Diceros bicornis minor: one gene and its partners. The protein of the gene in region 1 interacts with the protein of each later gene in a biochemical or structural test. Links are inferred from orthologs where the notes say so. Each region holds a gene or a part of one and is shown in the gene's direction. Other genes may lie near its edges. The genes, in order: CASP3, GSN, PANX1 and PTGES3.

Region 1 (6,854 bases):
AATAAAGTCCACTGAGTACTTAATGAAGAAAATAAACAGACTACAATCAGATGTGACTTATAGCTCTAGTATCTACCCAATAACTGACTAGGAATAACCATGTGGACGTTCATACTTATCGACACTGATACCAGGAAAATTTTAATTTTGTAAAAATGTTGGTATGACAATGGAAGTGTGTCATACATGAAAATCAAGGAGTCAGAGTGGAAAATCAGTTTGACACTTACTGGACTGAGAAAGCCATGAATGTCAACAGAAACAAAAAAGAGAAGTACAATATATGTTATGCCCTTGTGGGAGATCAAGATTTGGCTACCCTGAAACATATCTCTTTACCTTGATTGTTTTCTCTGATGGACATTTGACCTCCCCCACTAACTGCCTAAAGAATTTGACATAGAAGATCTGTAATATAATGTAAAATAGATGTTACAATAGGAAAGGCACCAACAAGCCCATCTTATCAGAAGTTCTGTCTCTCTAGGCACATTCTCTGGATGGCCCTGAGAGGAGTTGCCAGACAAACATTTACATTTATAAGGGAAATCTCCATTTGTAAAGGTATCTCCCTTTCTGTATTGGGAAGAGGTGAGATGACTTCATTTCTAGAAACTCATCAATGTGGAAGGTGAGGCCTTAAATCTGCATAATAACCTTACTCTTGTTTACAGTGCTTTAGTGGTAATCTCCACTAACTGACTCCCCACCCCCAGCATCCTCCTTTGTCTTTAGCTGAAGATGGTATTTAAGACGAGAATTTCTGCTATTGTGTTGAGAAATGCAGTGTCCCTGCTTTCTCCCACGTATACATGTTATTAAACTTGGTATTATTTTCTCCTGCTAACCTATCTTGTTAATTATTTGGCCAGCCATAAGAACCTTAAGGGAAAGGGCAGAGGGGGCTTCTCCCTCTTCCCCCACACCCTCATGTTCTTTGCACAGTTTGAAAATTTTAACAGCTGGGTTGAGGGTTAGAAGACAACTGGGGCTTGGACTATTTGAGCAGGAGGGTGAATGACAAAAGCAAAGGAAACAGAGAACAGGAAGGCATCTGGCATTCCGGTTTTGGACTATCATATTCCTTATTCCTATCCTCTGAGAGAACGTCACCATTTTAGAAATGCTTTTAATTCCTGGTGGGGAAAGAGTGCTGTCTTTCTTTTATAGAATTGTACATCAAAACCCCTTTTCACACAGGGACCATAACTATTTTTGGTAACAGTTTCCAAGTTCCAAAGAAAAATATTTGTTGTATTTTAAAATAGTAGACTTAAGAGCACTGTTTCTTAACGTTGCACCAGAATGTTGATTTAACCATGTTGGATACCAATTTTACAACTAAACGTGGTCAGGCTAGAAAAAAGGCTGGCTTAGTCCTTTGGGAGTAACTGTAGCATAGTGAGAAAAGGGGAAGAGGGGATGGAGGTGGAGAGATGACTCAGGTGGCCATCCTATGTAATGGCCCTGGTTTCCCTGGGTTTATGCCTAGACTTGCCCAGCTAGGACACTTGATGCCCTGGTTCCCAGGAGCAGCTGGATAGGGGGCGCGTGCTTCATGATTACTGGCTTCTAGGGAGATCTGAAGCCTGCCTTGCCATGATTCTCCCTAGTCCACTTCTCCTACATTCTTCCCGTTGTTTGCCTAATCACAAGTCAATTCCTATTCCCTAACTCCAACCTCTTCCTCTGTCCTCAGAATAGATTCATCAGTATTTTGTGTTTTCTGCAGGTATGTTCTAGTTCTAGTATTTAGTAATGTTCTGGTATCTGGCAATGTTTTCTTAATATAATCCCTTTTGTGGCCTCTTGGAATACTGCTAAAGTATTCATAATAAAGTATGTAATTAAAATTCATTAATAGTAATATTATATGTTTACTTCTCAGATGAAGTAACACTGTAAGAAATATACTAATTGACTGAATTTTCTTTTTCTTCCACTTCAGTCACTTTGCCGCTCTATGCTTGAACAGAAGTAACTCATTTAAATCCCCCAAAATTCTCCTGTAAGGGATAAGAAAACATACAGTGATATATTGTTCTTTTCCAGTTACCCCTTTCTACCATCTCCACAGGCTCTCCCACCCAAACAGCCTAACTTTGCCAGACTAATGACTTTTAAAACCATTTTCGTAACTTTTCATAGGGACACCCATTAATGATTCAGAGCATCACTCAATTCACACTATAGTTAACATCAAGAGGTCCAAACTCTCTCCAGAATCTGGCCCTAAACCACTTACCCATTTTATTTCTTATCTTTCAGCCTTCTGAACCAAATGAATGAAAATCACCAAATGGCAATCACCAAATGAATGATAATAACCATTTCCTGCATCTGGCCCACTCCAAAAGTCCCTTTGCATGTTTCTCTCACCTGGAATGCCTCACTTCCCTTTTCCAAATTCTTCCCTTTCAAGGCCCGGATCAAGTTCCGCCACCTCTGAGACACCTCTGTAAAAACAAATTACTGGACTCGGTCAGAAGACATTTCCTCCAGCCAACTGTTTTACTATAATTAAAGTTTCTCTAGACTAAGTAAACTAGTATAATTACACGAAAGCAGAAAACTGCTGCTGCCTTAACTGAAGCATCATTTTGGTAAGAAAGTTTAGCACAGGAAGAGGCTTGGGCATCACAGGGGCGTAAGAGGACTTGTTCAACTATACTGGTGCCTCCCTTACGAATAGCTGCATGCTGAACCACTTAGGGGTGGGAGTGGGTCCTCCTCAGTTTTATTGCAGCAGAAAAAGGACTGCCACACTTTTGTCTTCTCTCAACTTGGGAGGGATAAAGAAAGGGCTAAGTTTTACTCCTGGGATCCCAGTTTAACTTCTGTAACTCTCCTTTTAGCGAGAACAAACTACTTAACCTTTTTAAGCCCTGATGGGAACTGGAATTCCTACCTCCCGGGGTTGTTGAAAGGATAAAATAAGAAAGTGTATTGCGCACACGTAACATCACAGAATAAGCGCTCAACAAATGGTAGCCACGTATATAACGCTGTATGTTCATGTACAAAATACGGCCCCTGATTTATATCCGAATAGGCAGAAGTGTTCTTAACATGGGGTCCCTGACTTATCAGAATGTCATGAAGCTCTAGAAATCTGATGCAGAATTTCGTGCTCAATCGTGTTGGTGTAGTCTTCTGCGAAAACGACTGAGAGTTTGCATCAGGGTCTGAAAGGCGTTCGTGACCCAAAATAGGCGGGAACCAGTAGGCAGTTAAGGCTTTAAGGACGAATTGGGGGGGGGTGACCTAAGGAAAGGCCTCAGGTCACCCGAGGGGAAGAGATTACCAGTGCGGGTCGGCCTGCTCCCCTTCCTCCCAGACGTCCAACCTTGACTCCCTTCTCTCCGCCCCTCGGGGCTGCCGCGGCTTTGAGGTCTCCCTCCGTTCACGTCCAGAACCCCGCGCCGTGGCGCGATCGCGACTTCAAGCCTGGCGCGGGGGCGGAGCCAGAGCGCGCCGGGCCTATGAGGGCGCGGCTTCCACGCGGCAGGGGGCGGTGTTCTCGGGGCGGGGGCGGAGCCAGAGCGCGCCGGGCCTATGAGGGCGCGGCTTCCACGCGGCAGGGGGCGGTGTTCTCCGGCAGGCGGGCGGGGCAGCGGGGAGCGCGCCGGGACTCTGAGGGAGCGGCGTTCTCGGGCACGCAGGGCGGGGCCGGAGCGCGAGGTCGAAGCGGGCCGGGACGGGAAGGCGGGCCAGAGCGCCCGGGGCCGCTGAGGGAGGGGCGTTCGCGGCGGCGGGGGCGGGGCGGGCCGGGGCGGGAGGGACGTGTCGGCGCGGAGGGGAGCGCGGGGCCCGGGGGTGGGGCCAGCGGGGGGCGGGCCGTGCTCGGAGCTCAGCTCGGCGGGCTGGGGGCGGCGGGCCGCAGAAGCCGAGCTGGCGGGGCGCAGAGCGGAGTGGACGGTTGAGCGCTGCGTGGAGGCTGTGCGGTGAGTGCCGCCCTCGAGTCTTCCCGACGCCGCGCCGTCGGCCCTGCCCGCTGCCTGCATCGCCTCCAGCCCGGCGCGCGCCCCGGGGTCCCTTGGGGCCTGCAGCTGCTCCGGGGAGACGGAGGAGACGGGCACGCTCCGGGCGGCGGGTCCTTTGTTTGGCCACGACGACGGGCGCGGGGAGGAGCGCTGGAGCCCGCGGAGCGAGAAACCTGGCCCGGGGTGTGGAGGCCCGGCCGCGGGTCGGGGGGCCGGGCTGGGGGTGTGGAGGCCGACAGCGGAGACCAGGCTGGAGATGCCGAGCCTGGGGGACGGGACACCGGACCGAAGATCGAGAGGCCAGGCTGGGGGCCTCGAGGCCGGGGGGCGCGTGGGGGGCGGGAGCCCGGGCCCGGGATGTGGAGGCCGCGGAGGGGAGACCCGACTGGAGATGCCCAGCCCGCGGGACGGGAGGCGCACCGAAAACCGAGAGGCCAGGCCGGGGCGCCGAGGCCGGGTAGTGGGAGGTCGGGCCCGGGCCCGGGAGCGGGGCGCGGGGGAGGGGGGCGCCGAGGCCGGGTAGTGGGAGGTCGGGCCCGGGCCCGGGAGCGGGGCGCGGGGGAGGGGGGCGCCGAGGCCGGGTAGTGGGAGGTCGGGCCCGGGAGCGGCAGGCAGCGGGATGCCAGAGAAGTGAGGGCGGCCGGGACGGGAGTAGCGGATGGTCGGCGCGGAGGAACGATGCCCCGAGGGCAGGAGGCGGGCCCGGTGCCGTCCCAGTGGCGCTGGCCCTCGGGGCTGAACCTCCCGTTGTTGGACGAGGGTGTGCTCTCTGCGGCCTTCTCTGTCTCGGGCCTAGATTTTCCCGGGTTGACTATGTAACTCAGTTTTCGGGAGAAGCAATTTCAGGCGTTAAACTCTAATTCCTTTTGAGACCTGAAGGTCTCCGTGAGTCCGTCCAGCTCGGCCATGTGATTGTGTGTCCATGGCCAAATCCACCTAGGAGCTGCTTTGAAATTCACTCAGGCCATGTTGAATGCGAGTGCCTTTCTCACACTTGTCACCCTTGTTCTCTCTCAAGCCTTATTTCCCAAGCAGCTGCCTCTCTCCCATTCTCAGTAAGTGGAACCCAAACCAAAAAACCAAGAACCAACCTTCTCAGCTACCTGTCCCCGGTCCTTCCCCAGTTAGCCACCAAAGCCTCCTCGACCTCCTAAATGTCCGCTAGATCTGTCCACTGCGCTCCATCTCTGATTTAAGTCACCCTAGGCTCTTACCTGGCTACAGCAGCCTCCTCACTGGCCTCCATACTTCCAGACCCTCTGCCCCTCTCCACTCCATTCTTTACAGCACAGGCTGAGGGATCTTTACAAAATAAAAATCTAGAAAACTGTTTCTTTGCCCATAGGAAAAACCCAGTCCCTTAGCATGGTAACATAGCCAAGCACAGGTTGGCTCCTTGGTCTCCTCACTTGCCTTATATTTCATTATAGCCTGTTTCACTTTCTACACAGCCAGGCTGATCTTAATACCTGTTCTCTGCCTGGAACATTCCTGCATTCCCACTCTGGTTGCATCACATCTGCTTGAGGAACTCCTACTTAGTTTCTGTTCTCATTCAACACTTCAAGGTTAAGTCTTCCTATTATGTGTTCCTTTCGCATCGGGATTTTCATAGAGGAAAACGTCATATCCTTTGCAGTTGCTTGTTTCCTATCTTTCCTACTAGCTTGTAAGCAAATTCCGTGAGGAACTGTGTTTGTCTTGTTCTTTACTGCCCTTCCCCATGTCCAGGGCCTGCACAAGTGAACGCCTATACTACAGTCTTATGCTTTTTAATAATTATGCCCTATCTAGAAAAAATAAACGTGTTTTAGGATTACTTAGCAAAATATAATTAAAAGATTGGATTAGGAAGGAATGGTAGAGGTGAAATATGGAGTGGTTGTAACGATGTGAGTATACAAGATAGTAATAGGAGCTGCTTAGCAAGGTGGTTTAGACCAACCTGTATCAAAACGTGCTCGGCCACTTTGAATGTGTTGTAGTTACATAATCTCTAAGAATGAAATATAAAGCTTAAATCATCCCTATCGCAACCTGATATTTGAGCTTTGGTTTTGCTTTGCTCTTTTGCAAAAGAAGGCTTTTGAAAGTTAGAATGTGCTTTAATGAACGGACAGTTTTTTGCAGTGTGGCAGTAAAACCTGTTGACGGTAAAAAAGAAATGAAACATTGTGCCTAATTAAATCGGATTTCTTTTTGCTATCCTGAAAAAGCCTTGCCTCCTGCGGTTTTAAGAGACTCACGTCTTACTGATATGGGCGATTGCAATGCTTCTTTACTGTTTTGCTTTCAAACCTGGTATAACACAATCTACTGCCGCATCCCCCTTGTAATGCTAGAAAGCAGTCTTTATTTTTATGAATGGTATTAAATTGATTCTGGTGCCTAGTATTAGATACTTCTTCAAGCTCTGCCTCAAAGATGGGAAGCACTGGTGTTTGGGCCTAAAAAAAGATGTGGGAATTCTTAGACTGTTAGATAACTGTTTTGTAGATATTTAACAAATACAAATGTAATGGAGGGGAATAGGTACTCTTGTCAGATGACCTAAGGCCAGGTCCCAAGGACGACACTTACCAGCTCATCCGTAAATAGGCATAAGTGATATACATACTTCACAGGGTTGTGAGGATAAAATGAGATAGTGTCTGTGACAGTGCTTTCTAAATCTCTGTGTAATATTGTTATTTCTCTGCTTATTTGTTCTTGCCTTCAGATTGCTTATAGGGCTTCTGAATTAGGGCAGAGTAAGATAAAGTTATCTGATGTGTAGTGCACACTGTCTGGCATCTGCCTTGCTGAGCTACTTTTGAATGCCGGTGAGCGTGGTTGTGAGTCCCACACAGGGACAGGGTCTTTCTGTCTTCC
Region 2 (6,927 bases), on another chromosome or scaffold:
TGTGGAGGGCTACGGGGCTTCCCTGGTGCAGCCTCCTGCCCCGGCCTGGGAGGTGTGGTAGGGATGGCCGCCCCAGAGACTCCTGGCTGCCACGCTTCACTGGGGCTTGACAGGCTTAGCAACTGCAACCCTTCATCCGGAAAGGGCACTGTTGCTCCCCGGCCAGGTTGGATGGTGTCAGGAGACCCTGCTTGATCTCTCCAGACAGAGCTTGGGGACTGGAGCCAGCCAGACTTGTGTTTGAATCTCAGCAATGCCTATTTCCAACCTCAGCAAGTGACTGAAACTCCCTGAGTCTCAGTTTCCCTGTCTGTAAAATGGGAACTTTAGTGCTTATTTCCCCTGGTTGCTGTGAGGAGACTCAGTATTAGATCCCTCTTTCTTCCCTCCCTTCTCCCAGAGATGTCTGGATCCAGAAGCGGGGTGGCATGCTGCCATTGGTGATGGCGGTGCCTCCTTCTGCAAGTCAGGGGCTCTGGACTGTCTGATTCAGAAGGACCTGTAGAGGTGACCTGGTCCAGTGCCCCTATTTTACAGATGGGAACCCTGAGGTTCAGACACATGTAGGTCCTGGATATGGTTGCACAGCCAGTATCTGGGGATGCTGGGGCTAGGAATGAGACCTCAAATCAGAGCATTGGGGCCTACCCCGTCTTTCGCGTATGGAGACTCTGAGGCCCGGACAGGGACAGTCACCCAGGAAGTCAGTGGCAGAGGCAGGCCTAGCACTGGGGCCTCTTCCTTTCTACCTAGGGGTCTTTCTTTTGCACCCAAGTCCCCTGCTGTCCCGAACTCATACATTCTCTTCCAGGCAGGGAGCAGCATAAGACCATGTTGCCCCCATTGCAGTCTCCGCATATCACTGCACTATAGCGAGAGTTTCCGGGCTGTGGGCTCCCCCAGGACAGGGGCAGGGCGTGTTCACCAGCTCTCCAGTGCCGAGGACCAGGCTCCAGAACTAGTGGCCGGCAAAGCAGTAGGGCCTTTGTGATCATTAACCTGGGGGCCACTGACCCAGGGCTGGTGGTCCATGACCCCTGAGGCCAAGGCCAAACCACACAACCCTCTGTTAATCACCAACTGTGTGGTCAGGGCCACACTGCTCCAGGAGGGACTGCCAGGCTGGGCCAGCTGCCGACTGAGGTTCACTCTGGGGGGTTGGGATGACACGGAAATTTTCTTCTGACTTGTTTGGATTTTCCCATTTGTCTAATGAGCAGGCATCACTTTAAGTGTATTTTTTAAGGGTATTATTCCTAGATCAGGGATTAACTAAAAAAATAAATAAATAACAACTACGTTGGATACATACATGTAAATAGTTTCAAACCCTACAGCAAGTTTTTAAAATTGTTATGCAAGTATATTGAGGTATAATTTACATACCATAACAATTCACCCATTGTAAACATACAGTACTGTGATTTTCAGTAGATTTTTCAGCTGTGTAATCATCACCATAATCTAGTGTTAGAATGTTTTCATCCCCTAAAATGTTCCCTTGTGCAGACTGCAGTAATCTGGGCGCTTAACTCCAGCCTCAGGCAGCCACGGCAATGTTTAAGAGTGAATGTCTCCCCCTTCACCCCTTTCAAGCAAACCGCCTTGACAGTTTGTCATTTACCCTGCTGGACTCTTTAAGGATCTATGCAAAAACAGACACTCTTATAAACGAGAGGAGAGGAGCCACACTGTAGTCGTTGTAGAATTTGCTTTTTGCACTTGGGGATCTCTCCATGCTCGTGGAGTGCCTACTATGTGCCCGGCACAGTAAATCTAGCCCATTCCTTTTTCACAGCTGCAGAGTGGTCCATTGTACGGCAGCTCCATGATTTATTTAATCAGGACAATTGAGTCCTTTCCAGTTTTCTTCAAACAGTGCTTCAGTGAACATCCTTGCACATATTATTTTTGTGTTCCTCTGTAAGTAATACTGAAGGACGCGGAACTGTTGCTGCATTGTGTGTTTCAAATTTGGATAGTCAAATTGCCATCCGGAGAGGTGAAACCGGTTTATGCTTCCATCAAGAGCACATGAGAACTGTGGGGTTTTTATAATCCTCCACATGCCTAGGGAGAGGCAAGAGCCCTCTGAATTTAGGCCAGAGCCGGCCCACTGCAGGCTCTGCAGGCCCAGGCCTAGACTTATAGCACTGAGAACTTGGGCATCTCTATGTGGCTCCCCACAGACGCTGGGATAAAGTTCAGACTCTTCAGGGTGGTGCACGGGCTCCTGTGACTCCTGCCACCCTCTCCAGCCTCATCGCCTCTCGCTGCCTGTGTTTCAGACTGGACCTCTCATTATTCACTGCTTTTGCTTGCCCTTTGCCCATGCCGTTCCCTCGCCCCCCTGCCCCCCAGAATGCCTTTTCTTCTCAGTCTTCTTCCTCCCTGTCCTTCAAGGGACAGAGTCTCCTCTCTGTGTTCCCTTAGCCCTTTATCTGACCCACAATCCCCCTTAAGTGGGAGGAAGTTGCATTGGTGGAGGGCAAATTTCACCCTGATTAGATAGAAGCTGGGCTCCAGGAAGAGCTGGGACAGGTAACTATAGCTTGTGGGGAAGGGGGACGGGATCTTCCATTTACCTAGTTGCAGGCCAGGCCATTTTCACACACGCAGACTGATTTAATCCTCAGCAACTATATACCCATTTAGTATATGAGAAGACTGAGGCATAGAAAAAGAAAGTAACTTACACACAGTGGAGGCGGGAATCAAACCCAGGCCTCCAACTCCCTGGTTCTCTTTCCTGTCGTTGCACCAGTTGTTGGGGAGGGGGAGATCCGAGATGCAAAGAGAACCTGGAAATAAAGAAGTTGGGTCCAGCAGAGTGGTGGGAGGGAGGAGAGACGGGTTGGTGGAGGTGGGAAGTGGACCTAGGTGAGTTTGAATAGCACTTCTCCTAACCCAGTGATGGGAAAGGAGCCTGGGAGTGGGGGAAGAGACTTAAATCCTTGCCTTCTCCAAGGGGAGCCAATAGATAAGATGTAAAACTGGAAAAAAAAAAAAAAAAACCCCAAAACAACAACTACAAGAAGCAAAGGAGGGCTTGTTATTTAAGACATGAAGGTAAACCCTGGAATCATCAGCTAAAGGAGGAAGATGGATGTGCCTGCCCCTGGGGAGACGTGAGTGGGGTTGAGAAAGAACACCTTTGTACAAATCCGTGACTTTAAGTTTTGATAAAAATAAAAGTTTTTTAAAAAGAAGGAAAGAAGGGCAGTCTTGAGGGCAATGATGGAAGTTGAGAGGTCTGCCCGCCCCTCTCTGAGTCTCTCTTGTTGACCGGCCCAGTGAAGGGAAGCCCCTTGCACTGCTGCCCTAGTGGCTGGCAGCCGCATGCTACCTAGGTGGGCGTTCCACTCAGACCCCCTGGGTTCAAATCTTGGCTGTACCATTTCCTTGTTGTGTGCACCTTGCTTGATCATTCTGCACTCAGTTTTCCCCTCTGTAAAATGGGGCTGTCCATAGTACTCTGTAAAGGATGTTAGGATGTGTCAGCTTTCATATGATGTGTTCAAGTCTTCAATAAATGTTAATTCCTGTTATTTTTTGCTGGAGGTGTTAGTGCGGAGAGGGGAGGGGACTTGCGTGGGTCACACAGGAGGCTGAGTTGGGCCCCCCGCCTTTCGTGCGTGCGCCCATTTAGTGTGCACTGAGTTAGGGCCTGCTGTATGCCAGGCCGTGTGCTTGGTCTCCGCCCCAGAGCTGGAGTGAAGGAGTGGGCGCGCCCAGTCGGGTCGGCCCGGGTGGGAACCCCGATGTCTCCAAAATCCAAGCCAGATCCCCGCCCCTCCGAGGCCCGCGGGGGCCCAGCCCTGTCCCACGCCCTCCCTGCGGGGCGGTCCCCAGCTTGGGCGGGATGGTCGGGCGGCTACTTAAGGCCGGCGACCCGGAGGCAGGGGGTGCCGACCGGGTCTTCTGCCGCCGTCGCCGCCATGGCTCCGCACCGCTCCGCGCCCGCGCTGCTCGGCGCGCTGGTCCTGGCGCTGTGCGCGCTGTCGCCGCCGGCCCGCGCGGCCACCGCGTCGCGGAGGGCGGCCCAGGCACGGGCGCCCCAGGGACGGGCGTCCCCGACGCGGGTGAGTGCCCGGGGGGCCCGGGGGCTCCCGGAGTAACTCTCTATTGTAAGTTCTTGCAGATACAGCACTAGGAAAAGGGGAGTAATTCAGGTCTAGAATGGAAAAACTGTTTTGTTGCTTTGTAAGTATCTCTTGCTGCTTCCGGGGCTCCCGTGGATGGGGGTGGGAGCCTCGGGGCCCTGGCTGTTTCCCTCCCTGGAGGCTAACCTTACCTTGGCCGGATTTCTTTTCCCTCGTCGCTGCCTCTGATTTCTTACCCATCCCTGCCGCCTGATTTCTCCTTTTCCTTGTCTCATTTCTCCTTCCCTCTGCCTGATGTCTCTCCTTCCCTCTTCTGATCTCTTCTTCCATTTCAGATTCCTTTCTCATCTGATTTCTCTCTCAGTCTCCAATATTTTCTGCCTCTTTCTTTTATGATCTCCCCTCTGCCTGCTTATCTTCACAACTATTATTGACTCTCCCCTCTCTGATATTGTAACCGCCTGCCCTCCAGGACCGGTTCAACTGACCCCCTCTCGTGTCAACAGAGTGATTAGTTATCTTATCAACAGAGTAATTGCCTTTCAGAAAATTTGCAAAGTCTGGTAGCCAGAGCATGTGCAGAAGAAGAAATTGTGACCTGAAATAACCACAGAACCAAAGATGCTCCTCCAGAACCCAAGGACCGGGACATGACTAGGATTAAAAAGTGGGCCTCTTATCAGAAGCCGGGGGTCCCTCATTCAGGAAGATCTGGTGTTAAAATTCCTTCCCCACCTCATCATAAATGTTTAGAACCCTGTCATAAAGGCTTGAAGCCCACCAATCAAAACCTATCCTGCTATCGTTTCCACCTGCCAGCCTGTTCTCCGTAACCTCTTAAATGTAACCCCAAATCCTGAATGGGACATACAGATCCGAGGGCACACTCCTCATCTCCCTGCAGATCGATCTTGCAGAATAAAGCTGATTTCTCCCCCAAAAGCTGTTGCCATAATTAATTGGGTTTTTTAATGCACATTGGGCAAGAGAACCTCAATTTTGTGCGGTAACAATATCTCCTCTGCCCTGTCTGGTTTCTCCTCCTCTCTCCTGCTTCCCTTTTGTTTTCTCCACCCTCTGCCTGAATTCTTCTTCCCATCTGGTTTCTCTGACTTCTCCCACCAGATTTGTCCTCCGGCCCGAGGTGACCTGCGCCTGCTGATTTCTGCCCTCTGGCTCCAGGCTAACCATCCCACTCTGCTCCGTCTCTAGCCCTCTAGCCCGAGTGCATGTCTGAAGGCCTTTCCCCATCCTTGGCCACCTCATCTCCAACAGGCTCCTGCAGACCCTGGCTGTGTCCTCTCCGCCTTTTCCAAGAAATGGAATTTGGGGGTGGGGTGTTGGGGGGCAGGAGGGAGGAGGCAGACAGCGCAGGAGGCCACTTGGGCTTAGTCATCTAGGCCCTTCTGGGGGGTGTGATGGGGACATGGATGGGGCATGAGATATCGTCCCACTTCCAAGAACAAAAGCAAACAAGCTGTGTGACCTTGGGTTAGTTTCCTCCCCTCTCTGGGCCTCAATTTCCCTATCTGCAGAATGGGTTTGGATAATGAGATTTCTGAGGACCCTTCTAGTTCTAAGAGCCACTGAGGATGCTGGAAGGGAATACGCTGAGCCCTTGGGGACCCCAACTTACCATTTCCATCTGAGGGGGTCTCCCTATGGTCCCAGATCTCAGGCTCTTAGAGCCTGGGGCAATTCCTCCTATGCCGTTTCCTAGCAGGGGTCCTTGGCAGAGTCACTTCAGCTCTCTGTGCCATAGCTGTACTATCCAATTGGTACTAAGAAGGGAAAGGAGAAGGGAGGTAGAGCTCTCTGTCCCTCCATCACCGGGAGCTGAGTAGGAGAGACAGACGCTGGCTGGGGACAGGGTTTTAGCCTACACTCTGCCCTGTTTGCTCACTCATGGAGACAGGGGTCATAGAAGTGGGGAGACTCACCTAGGGGGTGGGGAGAGTCAGAGGCTCAAGTGAGATGCTCTTGGTGCTGGAAACCCCCCTCCCTCGTGCCCCGGGGTCTCTCCGCCAAGGCTCCTGCCCCGCTCAGGCTCTGCCCTGTCTCTTCCAGCCCAGCAGCATGGTGGTGGAACACCCCGAGTTCCTCAAGGCAGGGAAGGAGCCCGGCCTGCAGATCTGGCGTGTGGAGAAGTTCGACCTGGTGCCCGTGCCCCCCAACCTTTACGGAGACTTCTTCACAGGCGACGCCTATGTCATCCTGAAGACGGTGCAGCTGAGGAATGGGAACCTGCAGTACGACCTGCACTACTGGCTGGGTGAGCCGCCCCGCCCAGCGCCCTCCCCCGGAAAGCACGGACCTCTGAGGCGTGGTTCCCAGGAAGCACCCATGGGCGCTGACTATTGAGCATCAAGTACGCGCCAGGCCGTTGGCTAGCGGTTACGTGTCCCCAGACTCTAGAGCCAGCCTGCCCGAGTTCAGACCCAGCTCTGCCCTTTGGCAAGTCACTCAGTGCCTCTGTGAAGTGGACATGGTGATAGCGCCACCTCCCTCACAGGAGTGTCGTGAAGGTTAAGCCCATTACTATGGCCCTCAGAACTGGAGGTGACTTGGGGACCCTAGACTCCCCCATAGCTTCCCTGACCCAGCTCCAGACACACCCCAGTTTCCCATTCAGAGTCAGGAGCCTGGAATCCTTGCCACGGGTCTGCTGTGTGACTCTGTAAGTCATGCCCCCTCACTGTGCCTCAGTTTCCTAATCTGTGAATAGAGCCTGTGCTCCCAGGCTGAGAGTGAGTGTGGGGGATGAGTCAGAGCTGGAGGACTCTTGGAGACCGTGGAGTCCAGCTCCCCAGCTCCCCCGTTATAC
Region 3 (7,013 bases), on another chromosome or scaffold:
TATCTTTTATAAAAGCAATGTTACATACACTCTCACATGACACCTTAAACTCCTGAGGTTGGTAATGACAGCTATCAAATGCTAAGTGCCCATGATGTGGCAGGCACTGTTACATATATGTCACATGTAATCCTCAGAACACCCAATGAGGTAGGCAGTATTATCCCTATAGGAAAATGAGGAAATTGAGTCTTAGACATTTCCAGTGACACATACCCTTGGTCACACAGCAAGTAAGTGGCAAATCCAGGAGTTGAACCCAGGCTTTCGGTTTCTTATTTCTGCCCAAAGAACTTGATGCATGTCAGATTATTTGATCTGATTTTTGCAGCGGGAAGAATGGCTCCCTTAACTACCGCTCTCTTCTGTTCCATTCATCTTTATCTTCAAAGACAGCAGACCAGTTTGGTCTCTTATTACCTCTCATGTGTAAAATTTTGACAGCCTCTTACCTGGCCTCTCCACCTCCCTCTGCATTCCAATCCACTCTACATGTGACTGGAAGATTAATCTTTTTAAAGCACAATCCATTACTCTTCCCCAAAACTCCCTAATGCCTTCTGGAAAAAAAAGTCCAGATTACCTTCTTTGGCCCCAACCTTTTCACCTTTGACTCCCTCGCCTACATCTTCCTCATACCAGTGTCAGATGTCCCTACTTTCCATTTCCTGACAAGTTCTCTTTCTTGCCTGTATTGTAAATTCAACAAACGTGGACTGACTTCCTGCTAAAGGTGAAAACTCTGCCAGGGTTGAGGGCAATTTATGAAATTGCTGAAATTCCATCCAGATCCTCAGAGGAACTTGACATCTAATGAGAAAGCAGACATGCAGTCAACCATCACACCAGGCAAATGAGCTAAACGCTAGACCAGAAGAAGGAAATGCTAAGGGACAGAGTGATTTCATCACAATGGGGGCGATCCTGGAAGGCTTCCAGAAGAGGGGACCTTTGAGCCTGTTGTAGATTTTGACATGGAGAGAAGGGGCACAGCACCATGCTTTCATTCATTCCTAGAAAGTCCTGTCCCAGCTCAGCCTGCCACAAACCGACTCATCCTCCCAGGCCCCACTCTTTCTATGCACCTCCCTTGGCACACCCACCTTTCACAATATTACTTACCCCTTCTAACTTGTATTATAGTTAATTGTGCACATACTTTATTTCTCTTTCTAAGCCATGAGGTCTTTGCAAGTGGAATGTATCCACTTCATCTTTGCTTCCCCATCCATTGAACCCAGAACTGGTCCACCACTGGCCTGTAACAGATGCCTTGAATGTATGGATAAATGAGTGCAAGTTGGGCTAGTTGTTTTTAAACAATTTTCACAGTGAAACATTTTCAGATTCCTTCAGACATTTAATAAATATTAATTAAACTACCTACTATGTGTCAGGCATTTGTGTTAAGTGTTGGAGATAGGAATGGTATACATGGATATGGACCTGCCCTCATGAAGCTTACCATATAAAGGGAGAGACAAACATTAAATAAATGAACAGTTAAACAAATACTGGTTGAATTATATTTGTGATTATCATTAAGAAGGAAAAATAGAGGACAACAATACCAGATAACATTTACACAGTACTTATCAGTTGCCAGGCACTTTATCAGTGCCAGGCACTTTACATATTAACTCATTTGATCCTTATCACAATCCTAAGAGATATAACCACTTTACAGAGGAGAAAACTGAGGCACAGGAGGGTCAAGTAACTTTCCCAAGGCCCACAGCTAGTAACTGGTAGTGCCAGTATCACAAGAATATTTAATAAAACGACCTACTCTGGTTTAGTACTATCAGAGAAGACTTTCCTGAGGAAGTGACATCCAGCTGAGATCAGGAGGGTGAATAAGAGGCTATGGTGGGAGTGCTTTGGGTAAGAGAAGGCCTCGGGGAGGCAAGGGGCCTGGCTAACTTGAAGAACTGAAGAGGAAGCTGGTGAGGCAGGCAGTGGCCATGCTAAGAAATCTGAATTTTATCCTAAAACCAATGTACACTTGAAGTAGAGGACTGACATGATCAGATTGGAGCTTTCAAAATCTCCCTCTGAGGGGCTGGCCAGGCGGCGCAAGTGGTTAAGTGCGCGCGCTCCGCTGCAGAGGCCCCGGGTTCTCCAATTCGGATCCCGGGTGCGCACCAACGCACCGCTTGTCAAGCTATGCTGTGGCAGCGTCCCATATAAAGTGGAGGAAGATGGGCATGGATGTTAGCCCAGGGCAAGTCTTCCTCAGCAAAAAAAAAGAGGAGGATTGGCAGATGTTAGCTCAGGGCAGATCTTCCCCCCCAAAAAAAGCTCCCTCTGGCAGCTATGGGGGAGAATGGCTTGTGGGCCTGTGGGGTCCATCCCTGTATGTGGTTAGCACAGAGGATGAATCAGTGTTGGCAGTCCAGGTGGAGAAACACTGTCAGATTTTCTATATTTAGGAAAGAGAAGCAAAAGAATTTAGAAATTGATTATGGCAGCTGGGAGAGATGGAGCGTTAAATAGGACATTCCATGTTTCTGGTTTGGGCACGTTGGGGCCCAGGGCAGGCAGCCCCAAAACATCCCACAATGGCATACTGATTATTTTGAATTAAGGTTACTCGTTTTGACTTCAGGTAAAATTTTGATCCTCCTCTCTCTGTTCCTCCTGAAAGCAGGAAATAAATCTCCCATATGAAATCCCCCCTCCCCATAGGAGGGGGTAGAGACATCCTTATCACCAGAGCTAGGGAATTCAGGGCCAAGAAGCTTATATAAACAAACCTTGTTAGATTTACTAATTTATGACCTCAATTCCTCACTAATTATGACTAATTACATACCCCGAACCTAAGTTTCTTTGCCCTGTCAACTCCTCTTTGCATAAAAAGACATATATAACCTGCTTGCCTCCTTCACTCTCTGAGCATCATTTTTATGATCTCCCAAATGGACGTATTGTTTTTCCTCCTGTCAGTCAGTCTTGTGTCAATTTTATTATCAGTCCAGCCATAAGGGAGGCTCCTCTCAAGAGGGAGAGGTTCCCCCTCCTCAACAGGCCTATGGGTGGATGGTAGTGCATTAGCAAGATGGGGAAGAGGAGTACAGGCTGAGAGGAAGATGAGGATTGCAGGCCTGGCCATTATGAGTCTGAAGTCCTGTGAGCTATCCAAGTGAAGAGTTCTGTAGCCCTTGGATGAGTGCTCAGAGGAGAGGCCAGGGTAGAGAGGTACCTGTGGGAGTTGAGGACATATAGAAGAGGCTTGCATGTATGGACCTGTCCACATACAAAGAGAAGAGAAGGCAGCCCAGTCCAGTCCCAAGGAATCCTCACGTTTAAAGGTCCTGTCTGCTCCAAATGTTCCTGATTAGAGCATCTCCTGTCTATTTCTCAGCATCCACTTCCTGCTAGTGGTTCAGAAGAAGCTCTCCCCCAACACCCACTCACCCGCGGACACCTCTCTGCTGGCTCCCCGACCAAGGCTCCGACTGGGAAAGCAGGAGCAGTAGCGCGGACCGAGCGGCGATAATTAAGGTCTGAGACCTAGTCATACGCCAGGGCTCACCACCCAGACCCCGCAGAGCCTCCCTGTCACGCAGAGCTCTCGGAAGGGGCCAGCGCTCCCTCTTCCACACAGGCTCAGTCTACACTGGCTTTTATGGCACGTGTTGCTCTTTGAAGCGTTTGCAGCTCTTTTTAACCTGATTCCACCATGTAGAAATGTTGAGGGTGGGGCGTAAAAGGGGGCCATCCTGTCCACAGGGTAAGGGGCCACTTTCAGAAAGGGGTCGATTTCAAAAATCCCGAGTGCCTGGAAGTGGGGAGAATGAGGATGGAAGGGGCGTGAGAATTTTCAGAGGTACCGCTCGCTCGCTGGGAAGATCCCTTTGCTGGGGTGAATCCCAGGGTTGTGGGATGCTGCCGCGCCCACCTCGCCCCGCCTCACCGCGGTTTCCGGAAACTCCACGCCCCTTGGTAATAGGTCTGCCTCATCGTTCCGGAAGGGCGCAGCAGAGCGGGCTGAGAGCGCACGGGCCTGCCCAAAGGAGCTTTGGCTGCTGGGGCAGAGCGGCGGGGCTGGGGCGAGAGGGAAGCGCTTTGTGCGGTGGTTGGTTCTCGCGCCTGCGGGCGCGCCGGAGAGGCGCCGAGCCCGGGTGGCGCGCGCGTCCCAGGGACCTGCGGGGGCGAGTCCGCGCCCCTTCGGCGGCGGAGGAGAGAGCGCGAGAGCTCGTGCGCCCAGGCGCCCGTGGAGGCAGATTTGGCTCTGTGGCTCGCTGAGAGCCGGGCCACCGAGACACAAAGACTGGTGGGGTGTGCAAGCAACTGGGGAGTTGGCAAAGGAAAAGCGAAAGTCGCAGGTCCGGCCAGTGCCGGGGTGAAGGCGCAGCGCAGCGCTCCTGACGCCGGCGGTACCCGGGCCTGCCCTCGTGGGCCTGCCTGGCCGCGCCTGGCGCGCCGCAGCCATGGCCATCGCCCACCTGGCCACCGAGTACGTATTCTCAGACTTCTTGCTGAAGGAGCCCTCGGAGCTCAAGTTCAGGGGGCTTCGGCTGGAGCTGGCCGTGGACAAGATGGTCACGTGCATCGCCGTGGGGCTGCCCCTGCTGCTCATCTCGCTGGCCTTCGCGCAGGAAATCTCGATTGGTAAGGCCCGGGAGCCGGAGGGCGGGGCGGGGCGGGGCGGACCCCGCCTGCTGGGCCGCGTTAACAGAGGTGCCGGGGTCTGGTGAGAAGTGATTTTACCGCGCGCCGGCCTGTATCGCCGAAGTCCCCCCGACAGCGCGATGGGCGTGAACGTTGGGAAGGAAGGTAGCCCCGGTTTTATGGTCTGAAGCATTCTTTGTCCACGTGCTTTATTTGTACCCCTGTGGGCTCTGCTCGCATCCTTACTCCTCAGTTCTTCTGTTCCCTGCGCCCCGCTGATCCCGAATGTGGCTTAGTGTTCATGTGCCACTCGTGACCGGCGCCGTTGCTACCAGATTTGCACAAAACTGCCTCCTCTCTTCCCCTGCACACATTTGTGTAGTCACCTAAAATTTTGTACCAGAGAAGTTCCTGAGTGGCTGAACAGAGGATGTGAAGACAAGTGCTCCATGGAAAGTGTGTTTTCTCTTCATTATCTTATTTTAATTGATATTTATTGAAACTTTAGCTCTGCAGGGTTGTGAATGATAGAAAATACCTGCACTTGGCAGGTATTGGAGGGAAACCAAAATCCTCCACTTGCATGGCCTTATGAATGTGTGATGAAGGAGTTCCCGTCATGTATATTCTGATTGGTAGTAATAACAGTTCTGTGAGATTTCCAGTCTGGTGGTTTGGACAGGATCACGTGGCCAGTAAGTGTGTGGTCTTCCCCATCAGCTCTTCTGACTTTCAGCACAGGAGAGACTATTTATGAGTCAACAGGAAGGCCGTATAGGGCAGCTAGAAACAGTTCTGTATGGGAAAAGAGGGAGAGACCTGTGGCGCTGGACCTTGGGAAAGCTTATTTGAGAGGTTGGGCTGGCACTGAGCCTTGGAGTGTGTGTGAGATTTGGATAAGCAGAGGGGAGACCTTTTGCCAAGATTTTGAGATGGTAGGAAATGTTACATGTTCCTGGAAGGTGAGAGGCAGTGACTAACTGAGGCAGGAGGGTTGTCAGGGTTCCTGGGGTATGAAAGTGAATATGAGCCTGGGTCAGTTAGAACAGAGGAGTACAGCCTTGATGGTTTAAAAAGTATGAAGTTATTATTTGAGCATAGGGTGGACTGGTTGAAAACAGCACTTCATAAATAGCCTGATGGTAGCATGTAGGGTCTGTGAAGGTGGAGAGTTGGACCTACGTAGGCTGGATGCCGTAAGATGGGTCATCAGTTGAGGTCTTGTGCGTGGTTGGGGCCAAGAGTGGAAGGGAAACGTTGGGTAGGGGGATTTCCGAGAGAGCAAGGAGCAGTAAGCAGCACTTGGGTGCCTCGTTTTTAATAAGCTGTAAAGGGCAGAGACTGATCAGAGCTGATGGAAAGGCTGCAGACCTGGGTGAGTGGAAAATGGTGGTGGTGTTGATAGGAATAGTGAAGTTGAGGAAAGTGTTGGTTAGAAAAGGGTTACAATGAGTTTGATTTTGTGATCTACAGCACCGAGTTGTTCAACTTGGCAGGAAGTTGCCAAAATCATTGTGCTCAATAGCACTCAATAAAAATGTAGTGAAGGAAATGCTAGAGCACGTTGAAGAACTCTCCTGGGTTCTCCCTTGGAGAATGGCTGAGCTGAGGGAGATGGGGTGCCTTCCAGGGCAGGGGCAGCACAGAAGAAGGTTGCTGAGGTCTGGCCAAAGGTTACAGTTGCCAGGTCCCAGCCAGTGCCTGGAATTCACCAGTTAGAGGCAAGTGGTTCCTGGTGTGGGGAGGGAGACGTCTCAATTGCTGTGGTACCCATGTCACTTAGTAGCACAAGTGCTGTCCTGGGGAGGCCAGTCATGGCTCCCTCCCAGACGTCCGCCCCTGATCATAGCATTAATGGATGGAGGTCATCATGGGAGGGGCGAAGTTGTCCCACTTGACTTATAAGCTTAGGTTTTATTGTAAGTGCCTTAAATGCCCTTTTGTGGTATTTTTCTGGTGAGGAGGAATCTGTGTTCGCAATGTTGAAGGGCTCTTCTGTGGAAGACAGATGAGTGTCATTCCGTGTAGCTCAGAGACCACACGAGTGTCACCAGTGTGGAAACTGCAGGGAGACAAGAGTTCTGTGCCACGGAAGGACCCCCATTTCTAACACACCTGTCCCCAGATGCCTCTAGAGGTGCAGCATGTTTGACTCTGAGACAGAGAGATTTGGGAAATAGCTGGGTGACAACTCTGTGTAGAATACAGGCATAAATGGACTGCATAGCCTTTAAGCTCTGAAATTCGAGGAGTATTTATCTAAACTATTGAAGAAATGAATTCCTTAAGTGTGTACCTTTCAACACACCAAACTCTGAATGGGATTCATGTTCTTGGGGTCTTTTGATAGGGTCTTCAGTTCCCCAGGCTTAGGGCTATTTGGGGCTTGATGCCGA
Region 4 (7,861 bases), on another chromosome or scaffold:
CCCAAGAACTGTAACACATTCTCATTCATGAAGACCATGAAACTAAAATAAAACTTTATTACCTGATTTCTTCTGATGCTAGAGAATATTGCTAATTTACATAGAAATAAACATATATCACTCTTTTTATAGTCTTATTTTCCATAATATGAACTCCAGGTATATATGAGGTGATGTTTGGGGTAGAAGACCATTTTTAGAAGATTTCAATGTATTTCATTAAAAAACATAAATTAGCTTTTTAAAGCCTCTTCCGAGCCGGCCCTGTGCCTTAGTGGTTAACTGCGTGCGCTCCGCAACTGGTGGCCCGGGTTCGGATCCCGGGCGCGCACCGACGCACCGCTTCTCCGGCCGCGTCCCACATACAGCAACTACAAGGATGTGCAGCTATGACATACAACTATCTATAGTTGTATCTATCTATAGGGCTTTGGGGGAAAAATAACTAAATTTTAAAAATTATTAAAAAATTAAAAAAAATAAAGCCTCTTCCTTAACCTAGAGCTGTTCATGCTGTTGTTGGCCCACAGTGAGAGACTGGTAGCAAAACTCAGAATATGAAAAAGGTAAATACAAGGCACAGTTGTTTTTAGCTCTATTACTGCCAAACGAGACTGATAGGGTATGCTTTCAAATTGTGGGACAATAATGGCATCAGATAACATGAAGTAATTTAAGTTGCTATACATGATGTTTACATTTAGCTAGGTCATGATGTTTCCCTTAAACTTTATGACCAATTTCTTATTCCCTACACCTAGAACAGATTACTACTTTACCCCCTTTCCCTTTATTTGCCTTACAAATACAAAATTAACAACCTGTAAGTTCTTTATCTTATTAGAAAATCCTCTCATAAAACCAGTCTGTTCTCATCTGTTATTATTTAAAAAAATATTTTTAATTGCACATGTAAATCTATAAAGTTCTGTTTTGCTGTTAGTGACTATGGACACATATTTAAATTCAGTCCTCAGAAAATATCGGAAGGTTGATGCTACAATTATAACCGACAAATTGTTTCTGCATTCTTTTTACTACTGTTAGTATTAAACTTGTGAAATGGGCATCTACTACTTGCCAGGTATTTTCTAGTTTATGCCAATTTGGGTTGCAGATTTCTCTCCCAAAAGCCCTAACACTGTAACTATACATGTTTGAATCTAGAAAGAGAACTTGTTAGTGAATTCGAAAAAGGAACCTGGTACAACTTGGGTCCCCACCAGCTAATGGTTGAGATAACATGTAAAGGGATGGATAAACCTGATTACAAACTATTTGTGAAACGTCTGAGTGAGAAGCCATTTCCAGAGCTACACTAACATGAAATCCCTTGAAATACGTCTGACGGGGGAAGTAAATAAACTATGAAGTAGGATGCAACGGATTTGAATTTTCAAAAATTTCTTGTGTGGAAGGCAGTTTTTCCCACAGCACTTATTTAGATAAGGGAAACTGCCAGTTATTTGGAGTTGCAGTCTTCTAAACGCTATCTTCAATTCAGTTCCTCCATTTCTAGTTCACCTTATACATTGTTACCAAATTAATCTTTCTAGAACACAAGTGTTACTGCCCTTCAAAAAACTTCAACAGCTTCCCACTGTCAGAGAAATAAGTTGAAAACAATTAGCCTGGTATTCAATGCCACCATTACTTGGTTGTGACCTACCATCTAAACCTTATTTTGAATCATTCCTCTATACTCTGGACTACCTAGGCCAGGGGTTGGCAAACTACAGCCTGCAGACCAAACCCAGCAGGCTGCCAGTTTTTGTATGGCCTTCCAGGTAAAAATGATTTTTACATTTTTAAAGGGTTGGAAAAGAATATCGTGTGACATGTAAACATAAGAAATTCAAGTTTCAGCATTCTTAGTGTTTTTTTTTTTTAACACAGCCACTCTCATTTTTTACATATTTTCTATGGTTGATTTCATGCTGCAACAGCAGAGTTCAGAAGTTGCAATAGAGACCTTATGGCCTTATCTGACCCTGCACAGAAAGTTTGCCAATGCCTGATCTAGATGTACTTCTATTTCTTTCTTTCTTTTTTTTCTGTGTGTGAGGAAGATCAGCCCTGAGCTAACATCCATGCCAATCCTCCTCTTTGTTTGCTGAGGAAGACTGGCCCTGAGCTAACATCCCTGCCGATCTTCCTCCACTTTATGTGGGACGCTGCCACAGCATGGCCTTACAAGCAGTGCGTCAGTGCTCGCCTGGGACCTGAACCCAGGGCGCCAGCGTGTGCACTTAACAGCCACGCCACGGGGCCTGCCCCTATACTTCTATTTCTCTCTCTTCACCTATCTAGAGTCCTGCCTGGAATGTACTATTCCCACTCATTCCTGCTGTCACCTCTATGAGGCTGTCAAAGAATTTTCAAAAAATTTACAAACATGATTCTCCCACAAATATAAAATTAACACGAGCCAAACATTTATTGAACTCACTGACGGAACCAGTAAGACGGTAAAACTGGTTGCAGGCGTATTTAAGGAGCTAAGTATTTAGAGCCACAAAAATAAAAATTACAATAAGGTTGAAGGTTAAACAAAAATACTGTCCTACACAGCAATAAAACTGTAACTTTGGGGTTAGCTTTTCTATCAATCAGAAATCTACAGCGTTACAAGTAACTTACAATGTTTGAGCTCTAATCATTTAATAAATAGCAAAGCCAAACACAGGTACCTTCTCCCAGAGAATAATGCTTAGACAGGCAAGTTAAAACACGTCCCAGTATGAACTGCAAGGCCATCCCTCCAGGCCTTGCCTTATTTCCATGTTTTGGGTAACTTTTAACAAGGCCTATCCTAATCCTTCCAGTCAATGTGGACCTCTCCTCCTTTTATGCTCCCATCACTTTTTGTACTTCCATTATAGCACTCAGTTATCTGCATTTGCGAATTTTATTTTCCCCAACAGGCAGTAGGCTCCTTAGAATCACAGTATTTAAGAGCTGAGATTTAACCTTCCTTTTTCACGGGATTTGAGCATAGGGCCCAGGGTTGCAGTTCTCAATACCTGCCTTGCCCCGCACAGATACTTAAGTCCTTAATGCCGAATATGCAGCCTCCACTCTTTCCAAAATGTCTCAGGGCACTTTCCTTACACCTCCTTTGGGTTCTAACGGGCGGTGCACTGGTGTTTCTCCCTTACTCCACTGTTTAGTGGCCTTCTAGAGTAGGCAGGTACTGTTTGGATTCTCTTGGTTACTATCTCCCATTAGAGCCTAACCCAGTGCCTTGCACAAAGCACCAGTTCAAGAGACAAAGGTTGAAACAGATGGGGGACTCTCTCCCCAACTGATGTAGCTGGAGACACCGAGTGTCCTAGCCTCTCCATTCACATGACCTTCCTGTCTCACCTACAGCACTAATACCTCAAAGCAGGGGGAAATGCCCGCCCCAAATGGCAAACATTCCTCCTCAGCCAAAGACCTCAAATTTCCGCTGCCCCTGGACACGGTCTCCAACCCTCAGAGAAACGGCGAGGTGGACTAGGCCCTGGATTCTGAAGTCAGCCCTTTCCGCAACTATCACCAGCACCGCTTTTCGCATCTTTTGGCGGTGGAATGTTTCCTCGGTGGGCTGGTTTACTTCCTCAAGACTAACCAGTCCTCCCTTTCACTTTTCAAGCCTCCCGACTCTGCGTCTCTCCGCCTCAGCTCGCCTCCCCCGGAGACGGCCCCCGGCGCGTGGCCCCATAGCGGTGCGGCCAACGGTTTTCCGACGCGAGGGGGGAGCGCAGGAGCAGAGGCGGGAACGAGTCGGGCGGGAGAGAGCGGACGTAAGGCGGGGCCAACGCCGGGAAGGATCGCGAAGGAGCTGGGAGGCCCCGCCCTTTCCGTAGATATCTCTAGAAAGCCGCGCAGGAAACCAAAAACAAAGAGTGCGCACGCGCGGCGGTAGGGCCCGGGCATTTTGCTGCGTCACCAGCCGCCGCCCGGCCTCACCACCCCTCGCTCGCACGCACGCACGTTCATTCTCCGTCCTCGCGCCCCTTTTCCTACAGTTTCCTCTTCTCCCCGACCGGAGGAGCCGCTCTCTCCGCGCGGTGCATTCTGGGGACCCGGGTCGAGCCCGCCGCCGCCGTCGCCTGAGGGAAGCGAGAAGAGGCCGCGACGAGGAGAAAACGCCGGAGTCGCCACCGGAGAGGAGCCGACTGCCCACCAGCTGCCGCCGGAGAGGCCCGCCCATCCGTGCGCCCGTCCCCCTGCCCCGTTCGCGATGTGAGTGCGCCACCCCTCCGAGGGAAGGTCGCCCCGGAGGGAGGCCGAGGCCGTGCTGGGGGCTGTCGGGAAGCCGCCTCCCCCTACCCCGCTCTTGGCCCCTTCGGCTCTCTCCCCTCAGTGGTGGCAGTCGTTCCTCCCCGGGGTTGGAGGTCCAGGACCCTGTTCCGGGTATCGTGGCGGGTGGAGGACATTTTCCTCCAGATGTTCGCTTTCCCCTTTGGGCAGTCCGCGTTGTCCGTAACTGTCCCTAACTAGTCTCTGGCCTTCGTCTCCCGCGAGCTTTGGGCCATGTGGGCGCCCTGGAGGTGGGGGCCCTCGTGGATTGCCGCTTGGCATCCTGGGCCGTGCGGTTCGGCCGCGCTGTTGTCTGGGACCAGGCCGTGGGCCAGTGCACCTGTGGTGGGTGCTCCCAGAAGCTGGGGGTGCTCCTCGGAGGGCCCCATGCGGCCTCCGCCGAGAAGCGACAGGCACTGCTAGGCAACTGGAGGAGGCCGCGCCGGCGCCACCACTTACTTCCCTCTCGGGTGTCGGGATTTCTTGAGCGTGGGTCTTTCCAGGCCTCCCCATAACTCTAGTCCCTTTAAGGGGCTGAAGGTTACCAAAACGCAGCTTTGTCCCTGGCAGCCAGGAGCTACCATGAGCAGGTAGTTGTGCACGTGTCGAGTCCAGAGATACTTGTGGACATTTTCTGTGTTCTTTGTTAACAGGCGAGGTTTCATTATCCTATCCTAATTTAAGGTTGAAATAGGTATGTGATTGCCTCCTTGTTGTCTTGAAGAGCTTAAATTTGTTTTTGTGGAGGTGACCACACATTTTTTAGCGATCTTTAGTTTTTATTATGGTAAAGGAAAACCTCGGTGATTTTAACCGACTAAGAATTCTTGGCACTGCCACTTCCAGGTCTTACATTCTTCTCAGGAAAAGCTTTTACGTTTTCAGGTGTGTGAACTGCCGGTTTTATAGTTTTTGGGACTAACTGCTCTCTAAAGGTTACGTATGGAGAGCAATTGAAGGGGAGCAGTTTTTATTCCTATAAAAAGTAATGCACTTTCAAGGGTTTATGTAATTAATGACATTAACGGTGAGTATGTTGGATTAGACATTTAAATGGTAAAGGATACACTATAGCCAGTTGACGACGGGGAACAAGCCTCGGGAGGAAAGCATGTGTTACTGTAAAGGGAATTTATTAGAATTTTGGAAGGATTTTTTTCCCCCATAGGTGATATCTAATAGAAGATTTTAATTTATGTAAAATAGCTTTTGCTTTTCCCTTTGAAATCTCTATTCCAAATAATGTAGCAGGATTGTCGGTCTTAAAGTATCTATGAGAAGAAGATGAATTCTCAGATAAAGCGTTACCAACTTTTAATAGACTAATGTAGCCAAACAAAATATCTTTTCGTTAAGAAATACCATGTTTAATACGGTTTGAAATAGAAAAACTCTAGGGAGGTCACATAAAATAGTTAGATAGGAAACCTTAACTAAATAGATTAAAAGATGAAAAGTGTAACAATATTCCAAAAAGCACTGTCTCTACGTAAAGAATGCTACTTTCAAAATGAGTGTTTTGAAGAGATCAGATAAATCTCATCCTCTTTAAAATAGTCAATATATGCAATTTTGCAAATTGTTTAGGATATCTTATTGAACTAATAAAATGAATGAATTTACAAGATGAATATTATGAGTTATTTGAATTGGGAAAAACTTTTAATGGGTCATCCAGTCCCAGGAAGAATCCACTGATAAGGGTTCATTTTGTTGATGTCTGCTATAAACATTTTTCTAGTTGTGGAAATAGACATTTATGCTGGAAATCTTAAGGGTTTTAGGGTCTGGTTTTTTTTTTGTTTTTTTTTTTTTGAATGCTCTGTAGTAGTGATTTCCTGGGTAAATTTCTTTTAATCACGTTTTTAAAGTTTTGTATAGTAGCATACATGAAAGCTCTCAATCTCTCACCTACCTTGGAGAAGGCTGGAATTTTAGGACCTCCCTCCCCCATTTAAGACCTGCGCAAACCCCCTGCAGGGGGTGCTCATTTGCTTTTTTTTAAATTAGCGATTGTAGTTGGTTTTAAGTTGGACCCATTGACAGTGGGTATAAAGTAAAATGTTTTATTTAGTTTTGAGCTATTTGAAGTCATTCTTTTTGGTGTCCTGTACTTAAACTAATAAATTGTCCAGAACTATACCATGACTATTTCTAACGTTGATTAAAATCTTATTTACTTTGCCATCACTCAGCTTTGTAGGATTGGGACCCGAAAGTAAAATCATCAATGTTTTGTTTCCAGAACAAATTGTAATAGTGAGCATGGGGTATATGGTTAATTTCTAAAAGCTAAGGAAAAGTAACTGATCATGGTCTTTGTTCAGTGTTGACTTCCTAACGACTGTAATCTGGCAACTGGATTTTCTTTTTTTCTATGTTTAGTTAGACTTTAACTAGAAGGCAGTAGAAACTGGAAGTGACAAATCACCTGAGTGCAGACCAGTATGTATTGTTAATTAAGATTCTTCTGTTTAATTGTATTTTCTCAGTTTTGAAATCTAGAAGCTATATCATTTTGGGGTCTTAAGTGGCTTGTGATTGTAGCTTTTCAGAAAAAAATACCTTTGTAATATCAACTGTTTTAGAATCAATCTAGCTCTTAAACGCTTAAGATCCTATTTTATCTGAGTTCTTAAATTGAGAATTGTTGCATCTAGTGTAGTTTGCTACAAAAATACAAAGTGTGTTGTAGTAAACTTTTTGTAATTTACTGTATAGATTGGCAGTGATAGATTTTAAATTGAGGCTGACTTCCCCAGGACACCTTTGAACTTTTGATTTTTCCAGGAAGATGCCAATTACTTGAAACCCTACCTTGAGCAGTATACTCAATTTCATGTTGTATCCCACAGCCAAATAAAATGTGCTGTTGTGGATTTTCTGTGCAATAGTTGATCTTCACATGTAGCTATACTTTATTGCCGGAAAGTTTATGTCGGGGCCCTTTCCACCTTAGCATGTTTAATTATCGTTGTGTACTGAAAGGATCTAAGTTACAGACAGGTGTTTAAAATTTTTAATTTTATTAGATTCTAGGATCTAGTTATTCAAATATCAATTCACATAGCACCAATTAGTATAAAGGGCTGTCTCAAATAGAATTGGAACCCAGGATTTCTGACAGAAGGCTTATTTTTTTCTACTTAACAAAAAGGGAGAATAATTTTCAGGTGGTCCTTTTGTGTGTGTGTGTGTGTGTGTGTGTGTGTGTGTGAGGAAGATCAGCCCTGAGCTAACATCCGATGCCAATCCTCCTCTTTTTGCTGAGGAAGACTGGTCCTGGACTAACATCCGTGCCCATCTTCCTCCACTTTATATGGGACGCTGCCACAGCATGGTTTAACAAGCTGTGTGTAGGTGCGCGCCAGGGATCCGAACCGGCGAACCCCGGGCCGCCACAGCGGAGCGTGCACTTAACCGCTGCGCCACAGGGCCGGCCCCTCAGGTGGTCCTTTAATTTCCAAATAAAGAATCATGTCTCTGTAGTTCATTTTTATTTATTATCTAAACTACTGTTTCTGTTAAAACCTGTGCCACTTCTTGACATATGGTAACGGAGCCCTGAGGCTAT

Evidence for each region.
Region 2: of the proteins of CASP3 (region 1) and GSN, one has a biochemical effect on the other in vitro, tested with the Homo sapiens proteins (2 studies listed by BioGRID). The link is inferred for Diceros bicornis minor from reciprocal best matches to the Homo sapiens genes CASP3 and GSN.
Region 3: of the proteins of CASP3 (region 1) and PANX1, one has a biochemical effect on the other in vitro, tested with the Homo sapiens proteins (2 studies listed by IntAct). The link is inferred for Diceros bicornis minor from reciprocal best matches to the Homo sapiens genes CASP3 and PANX1.
Region 4: of the proteins of CASP3 (region 1) and PTGES3, one has a biochemical effect on the other in vitro, tested with the Homo sapiens proteins (2 studies listed by BioGRID and IntAct). The link is inferred for Diceros bicornis minor from reciprocal best matches to the Homo sapiens genes CASP3 and PTGES3.

What each region holds. Positions count from the first base shown.
Region 1 is NC_080768.1:16,324,837-16,331,690, reverse strand, and holds the start of CASP3 (caspase-3), read left to right. Parts: upstream 1-3,852; 5' UTR 3,853-3,944; intron 3,945-6,854. UniProt on the Homo sapiens protein: Thiol protease that acts as a major effector caspase involved in the execution phase of apoptosis. Following cleavage and activation by initiator caspases (CASP8, CASP9 and/or CASP10), mediates execution of apoptosis by catalyzing cleavage of many proteins.
Region 2 is NC_080767.1:28,448,054-28,454,980, forward strand, and holds the start of GSN (gelsolin), read left to right. Parts: upstream 1-3,923; 5' UTR 3,924-3,938; coding exon 3,939-4,082; intron 4,083-6,170; coding exon 6,171-6,375; intron 6,376-6,927. UniProt on the Homo sapiens protein: Calcium-regulated, actin-modulating protein that binds to the plus (or barbed) ends of actin monomers or filaments, preventing monomer exchange (end-blocking or capping).
Region 3 is NC_080746.1:39,654,563-39,661,575, reverse strand, and holds the start of PANX1 (pannexin-1), read left to right. Parts: upstream 1-3,992; 5' UTR 3,993-4,436; coding exon 4,437-4,617; intron 4,618-7,013. UniProt on the Homo sapiens protein: Ion channel involved in a variety of physiological functions such as blood pressure regulation, apoptotic cell clearance and oogenesis.
Region 4 is NC_080756.1:12,196,509-12,204,369, forward strand, and holds the start of PTGES3 (prostaglandin E synthase 3), read left to right. Parts: upstream 1-4,854; 5' UTR 4,855-4,869; coding exon 4,870-4,877; intron 4,878-7,861. UniProt on the Homo sapiens protein: Cytosolic prostaglandin synthase that catalyzes the oxidoreduction of prostaglandin endoperoxide H2 (PGH2) to prostaglandin E2 (PGE2).